2 linked regions of the Macaca fascicularis genome follow. Each later gene encodes a partner of the first gene's protein in a complex. Links are inferred from orthologs where the notes say so. Each region holds a gene or a part of one and is shown in the gene's direction. Other genes may lie near its edges.

The links.
Region 2: CAPZB (region 1) and CAPZA3 share a complex: the UniProt entries of both Homo sapiens proteins name them as parts of the WASH complex. The link is inferred for Macaca fascicularis from reciprocal best matches to the Homo sapiens genes CAPZB and CAPZA3.

What each region holds. Positions count from the first base shown.
Region 1 is NC_088375.1:215,725,644-215,729,465, forward strand, and holds part of CAPZB (F-actin-capping protein subunit beta), read left to right. Parts: intron 1-3,567; coding exon 3,568-3,709; intron 3,710-3,822. UniProt on the Homo sapiens protein: F-actin-capping proteins bind in a Ca(2+)-independent manner to the fast growing ends of actin filaments (barbed end) thereby blocking the exchange of subunits at these ends.
Region 2 is NC_088385.1:21,536,673-21,539,893, forward strand, and holds CAPZA3 (F-actin-capping protein subunit alpha-3), read left to right. Parts: upstream 1-1,443; 5' UTR 1,444-1,747; coding exon 1,748-2,647; 3' UTR 2,648-2,660; downstream 2,661-3,221. UniProt on the Homo sapiens protein: F-actin-capping proteins bind in a Ca(2+)-independent manner to the fast growing ends of actin filaments (barbed end) thereby blocking the exchange of subunits at these ends.

The sequences.
Region 1 (3,822 bases):
TAGGATACTATCCGACTGAATACTATCCTTGCTGTTAAAAATGATTATGGAGATCATGTGGCTCCATGGAAAAATGCTAATGATTCTGTGCCAAGTGTAAAAAGCCGAATTCAGCGTGGTGCTCTTGCTGTGCTTACAGTTATATAAAAATGCATCTGGACTGGAAGGGAATTTGGAAAAATCAGATTTATGGGATAAGTTGATTTATGGTATTGTGGGCTAATTTTCAGATTTCCTTTTTTAAAAAACAATGATGTTCCTGCAGTAAGTTTTAAAATTGTGGGTAAAAGAATAGTAACCCCGCAAGGAGGTCACAATTGAGCTTGCATTTTTACCTCCCCTGGCTCCAGCATTTGAAACTTTAGATCTGGTCACTGTGGCCTGCCAAGGAGAAGCTGCCTGTAGTGGGAGCCAGGCCACGGGGTGGGACGTTGGAGTGGAAACGGCCAGTTCCACCCTATAAAACTTTAATGCGGTTGTTTTATTTTTCTGGAAGAAACGGAACGCTCAGGGATGGGACTGAGGGGAAGCAGCCGTGGGCCACCTGGTGCTTTTGAACTGGTCGCCGGAGGGTGTCGACAGTGTCAGGCCATCGGGATTTCTCCTGGTTCCCCTCCAGGGCAGCCTGACCTGCCTCTCCCCAGTGTCCCAGCACACAGAGGAGAGCAAGCCTTGGGCGGGCACAGCACCGCAGCTCTGTGTGGATCTGTGAAGGAGCGGAAGGATGAAATGCCCCTGGGCTGCAAGCCTTCTTTCCAGAATGGCCAAAGGAAAGAAGGAATTATTGGCCCATCCTTTTTGCCAGCAAAGTAGGGTTTTTTTGTTTGTTTTTCTTCCCCCTCTTTTGATGTGGGGCTGCTCTCCCTATAAGCTGGCTGAAAGAGAAAACCGTGTGCTAGAACCAAGCCATCTGTCGCCAACAGGAAGGGTATTAGCAGGTCTGTTCTGAGTTGCTCTTCTCTCGGTAGTGTTCGTGTGCCTCGTAAGTTAACCTGCAAGAATCCAGGAGAATAAGCCAGAAAGGCTCACGGAGCCCATGCTGCCAGTCATCTGAGCCCTGCTAAACCTCAGGTCTAGCAGGGGCAGTCAGTCCCTCTCCAGGTGTTCTGGGAACATTCCAGAATGGCCTGATCTCTCCAACTCTGTATGGGGCCGGTCCAGACCAGGAGGGCCCTATGGAGGCAGATGGGGCCTTGGGCCCTGGACCAAAACACTCATCTGCTTAGCTCGCCTTGCCCCAAGAAGGGAGAGTTTGGAGACAGACTGGAATAAAGGAAATGATCTTCTGGAGTGGGGTCTCTGAGTGCCAGTATTGGCCGGTGTCCTGGACATCACCTCTGCCAGCAGTGAGCGCTGAGCCCCACAGGTGTGTCTGTTCATCCAGTGGTCCTTTTCCTCTAGAAGGAAAGGATGCCTGTGCTACACCTTGCCAGAGCCAGGCCCTTCCCCACCCTGTGCAGTTTGACCAGTGATGAGCTCAGCATCTGGCACCTGACACATCCATCCCACAGGTGTTCCCTGAGTGGCACTTGTGTTAGCCAGGCAGCCCTGCCCTCATATGCCCTCCTGCAGACTCGCCTGTGGGCGCACCATGGTGTATTCGGTTTGATAGCTTAATCACAGTGGTTAGTGCCACAGAGGGAACGGGACAGAATGTGGTCCTGCCGCAGGGGCTGGCTGCAGCCTGCCTGAGGGAGCCCTCGGGGCGGGGCCAAGGGTAGCCCACCTGAGTTATCAGCCCTCCTGGATGCTCCACAGGTCTGAGGGTTGGAGTGAGGGCAGACCAGCCAGGGCACCCTCATTCTCCTGGGAGGATGCTTTGCTTCCTTGGTCTGATGGTCTCTTAGTTACATTACACTCTGGTGTATTCGCGTACTGATTTTTCACAAAAGCTTTTTAGTCTGGAACAGTATGACTTACTGTCAAATTGCAAAAAAAAAAAAAAAAAAAAAAAGTACAGAGAATTCTTGTATACCCATCACCCACATTCTGTAAATATTCACATTTACCGTGTGTATTTTTTATTATAGAATAGCTTTGGTGAGACATAATCTACAGATACATGTTAATTTCTAGTACTTAATTTTACATTAACCGTTTGGTAGGTGTCTACTTTTCCTAATTGTTTGTCTCTCAACAGCCATAGAAAGTAGATTAAGTCCCTAAAGTCCATGTTCACGCCACTGGTCCCTTAGTAAACAGTTGGACGCATGCATGCGTGAGCATAGCTCATAGCTGGGGCTGGGCGTGCTAGAGCTGTCATTGGGTCCGTCTGACTCCCAAGCCTGGGCCCACCTTCCCAGCTGTCCGGGGCTGAGGGCGGTGTGCTCCCAGAATACGCCTGCCGCACCAGGGCTTTGGGGCTTAATAGGGGTCAGAGAGGCCCCAGACTTCCTGATAAAGATGTGCTCACCATGAGAGATGCGATTGCTTACAGTTTCACTGGTTATCAGCAGAGATGAGATTTCTCTTTTTGGGGCTTAATTGGGGTCGGAGAGGCTACAGATTTCGCCACAAGAAATGAGATTTCGCTGGTTATCACCAGCATTTGCAGTTCCCATCAGCTGACTCCACCCCTCACCTCTGCTCACGGCAGCCCCAGCGAGCCACAGTAGTTGACCTGGGTCTGTTGGGTTTGGGATCCCAGACTGATTCCCATTTCTCATCTAACCTTTTCATTCCCTCTGCCATTTGATCGTAATTAGAAATCCCTCTTCCATTTGATCATAATTAGAAATGTTTCTGGGCCAGATGCAGTGGATCACTTGAGGTCAGGAGATCGAGACCAGCCTGGCCAACATGGCGAAACCCCATCTCTACTGAAAATACAGAAATTAGCCGGGCGCAGTGGTGCACACCTGTAATCCCAGCTACTCAGGAGGCTGAGGCAGGAGAATCGTTTGAACCTGGGAGGTGGAGGTTGCAGTGAGCCGAGATGGTGCCACTGTACTCTGGCCTGGGAGACAGTAAGACTTCATCTCAAAAAAAAAAAAAAAAAGAGAGAGAGAGATGTTTTTGTATTGACTCGGATTTGAGGAGGAAGCACTGTCTCAAGCTGAGCCCTTCATTTCCGGCTAGCGCTTTGTAGGAAGTTGCTCCGAAAGACCAGCTGGAGCCCTGGTCAGGAGGGATCAGCGTGTAGGGAGTTTGTTGCTGTATTTTCTCATCTGCCTTGTAACCCAAAAGACAGAAATATCGAACAACCGTGGTCACTCCAGTAGTCATAGCCTGCATGGATTGTCACTGGATGTCACTCGTGCTGCGTTCTTTATCTGGGAGGAATGTGACGCCTAGAGAGGTCCAGTAAACCAAAGACCACAAAGCTAAGGGAGGTGGCAGAGCCCAAACTCAAGTTCATCTTTATGATGCCTAAACCTACTACACCCCCAAAAATGCTGCACCCTCTCCCCGAGCCAGAGAACGATCAGAACACACCCAAGGATCGGCTCCTATAACTGTTGCAGGGAGGACCCCAAATCCCAGAATCTTTGCTGAGCAACAGCCTGGGACCCAGGCTGATGATCTGTCCTTTAGCATCTAACAGGCACATTGGCCTGTTTCCTGCAGGTATTTTGAAGGCGGCGTCTCATCTGTCTACCTCTGGGATCTGGATCATGGCTTTGCTGGAGTGATCCTCATAAAGAAGGCTGGAGATGGATCAAAGAAGATCAAAGGCTGCTGGGATTCCATCCACGTGGTAGAAGTGCAGGTACTGCCTCCCAGCAACTGGTGGCCGGGGCCACTAAGTACAGAATCACACCAAACAGTGCCGCGCTGCTCTCTAGCAGATGCAGTGAGGGGGATGCTATGATCTCTGAACCC
Region 2 (3,221 bases), on another chromosome or scaffold:
GGTATACCACAATAAAAATACAAAAAAAGAATTAAAGTTAAAATTTGAGAATTAAAGTCATTACGTAGAAAATACATTAAAACATTATTACAATCTATTGCTTGAAGGCATGAAGTTGGGAGGCAACCAGACTTCAAGATCATCTCTCACCTGATCTCTCTGTTTTAGTTCTCTAATCCAGAAAGGTGATCATATTAACCCTGAATCTTAAGGAAGGTGGCAGCATTAGATGAATTCCTAATATGTCACTGAACACGGTTTCTGCTACTTAGTGTTCAATAAATAGTAACCATGACTGATAAAGTTATTATTACTACATTAGTCAAATGCCCAGCTATACACACACTCAAGACAGTAACATTTTAAGTACCATCAAAAAGCATCAAAAATACCATGGTAAGTGTATATTTGGTATGAAAGAGAAAACAAAAAAAAATTTTTTTAAAGCTTACTTATCATAGATAAACTACAAAAGTTAGGACACTTCCATTTGAAAAACTAAGATCGAAATGAGATAATGACAATTATCACCAAAATTATAAAAGATATAGGTAAAAATTGTGCAAAACTACTCAGTTTCAGATTGTTAAAATGTATTGAGATCTCCTTAAATTTAATAGTTATGACTTAATAGAATAAATAAAGCTCATTTTCTTGTAAGAAAAAGATACCAGAATGTAAGGAAAGTTAGAAAAGCTCAGAACAGACATCGAACAAGCAGTTCAGCTTAAATGAAGAGGATTTAAATTCAGAACTCTTCGAAAAGAATAACAGCATCAAGTAAAGAGGATAATGAGGAGAAAGAAGAGGGGCAGAAAGAAGCTCTCAATGGATATTTCATTTCCATAGTTTCATGACCTGTAGAGCCGTTTCTCCTCACTTAGAAGTCTTTCCCCAATAGGTGCTGTTACGGGTTCCAAATACAATTAACTCTGCCCCTTTGCAGAAAATAATTTCTTGATACTCCTCAGCTGTTACCACTTTTCTAGGGAGAAAGCAGAGAACACACAGTGGTTTGTCGCCTTTGTTCTTTGAAGGTAGCTCACACTTCACCGTAGAAACAGTAAGCAAGATGTAGTACCTGCACTACCCTGCCCTTGAAACTGTTTGGCTTCTTACATTCTGACCATCTCCAAACCCACAATATTTGAAAATGCAGCTTTCCCTGATGTCCGGCATATTTCCATGAACTGCCATTGTATCTCATTTTATTTTTTACTATTTTGTTTAAACCCCTCGAAGCTTTCATCACAATGTAATGTGCTTCCAGTGGGTTTGGGTGGCTGCTCTGAGAGCCTGAGTATAAATCAACACCATTGTGATTCCTGAAGTTGCAAAGTGCTGTCACTCTTGAAACTTTGGGCTGCTTCTCTAGATCCCTGACAACATATAATGCACACAGAGACACACCACTTTCGAAGAAGACTGTTCAGGAGGCTAAGTTCTTAAAATCTTCAAAATAGGTATAGCTGGTTGGCTGGGCACCACACTGTCAGGTGACTGTCATTTTTTCCTTTTGGTCTGAATACCCATTGTGAAATCATCAGAGGTTCCACACTTCACAAGGAAAGCTTCTTATGACCTCATCAGGAGGCTCAGACCTTCCTAGACTGCCTGCTTTCATGGGTAGACACAATAACCTTCAGCTTCAATGTTAACACCTTGATGGGAAAGGTGTCTCATGGAATGTTTTCTTATCCTTTGAACACTCTTCATTTCAGAAGCTTTGCTTCTGTTGCAACCAAACATGACACTTAGCGTGCTCAGCAGGAAGGACAAGGAAAGAGTAATTCGCAGACTGTTATTACAGGCACCTCCAGGGGAATTTGTAAATGCCTTTGATGATCTCTGTCTGCTTATCCGTGATGAAAAACTTATGCACCATCAAGGTGAGTGTGCAGGCCACCAACACTGCCAAAAATATTCTGTACCACTCTGCATCGATGGAAATCCAGTACTCTTGTCTCACCACAATGTAATGGGCGACTACCGATTTTTTGACCATCAAAGCAAACTTTCTTTCAGATATGACCTGCTTCAAAATCAGCTGAAAGACATCCAAAGTCACGGTATCATTCGGAATGAGACAGAATATCTGAGAGTTGTTGTTCTGTGCGCCTTAAAACTGTATGTGAATGACCACTATCCAAAAGGAAATTGCAACGTGCTGAGGAAAACTGTCAAAAGTAAGGAGTACTTGATAGCTTGCATTGAAGATCACAACTATGAAACAGGAGAGTGCTGGAATGGACTTTGGAAATCTAAATGGATTTTCCAAGTTAACCCATTTCTAACCCAAGTAACAGGAAGAATATTTGTGCAAGCTCACTTCTTCAGGTGTGTCAACCTTCATATTGAAATATCCAAGGACCTGAAAGAAAGCTTGGAAATAGTTAACCAAGCTCAACTGGCTCTAAGTTTTGCAAGGCTTGTGGAAGAGCAAGAGAACAAATTTCAAGCTGCAGTCTTGGAAGAATTACAGGAGTTATCCAATGAAGCCCTGAGAAAAATTCTACGAAGGGATCTTCCAGTGACCCGCACTCTTATTGACTGGCAGAGGATACTCTCTGACTTGAATCTGGTGATGTATCCTAAATTAGGATATGTCATTTATTCAAGAAGTGTGTTGTGCAACTGGATAATATAAAGAATTGCTCCTGGTAACTATCTTGATTTGACTCGTTTGTGTTTCTGGGGAATGGTTATTTTCCTAAAATTGAGCAATCTGTGGAGATGTCTCTCACTTACCCAATGCAAATTTAAATGGGAAAAGTGTAACAAGTAATTTTACTCGGGGAATATTGATGAATAATGCAAGAAAGTGTAAAGTAACTGTGTTTCATGGTGGTGACCATCATAAAGACCAAGACATTTGTTAGAAACTAAAATAGTTTTATAGAATATGGGATTCCAGAAATAATAGAGAGGTGGCCAGGGTTAAGGCTGTGTGTGTGTATGTGTGTGTGTGTGTGTGTGTATGTGTGTGTGTGAGAGAGAGAGAGAGAAAGAGAGAGAGAGACTTTTGACTTTGTTTTGAACTGAAAAGGTATACAAATGAATATCACTCCACAAATGATATTTTACATAACTCAATTCAGTACTGGACCATCCACGAGAGGGTGAATTTCAATAAATGACATTAGGTTTGGATTTTCCACGAAACCAACAGATATCAAAAATCTAGCTCACATGAAGGACTATTAGTAATTTTGGATCCTCTT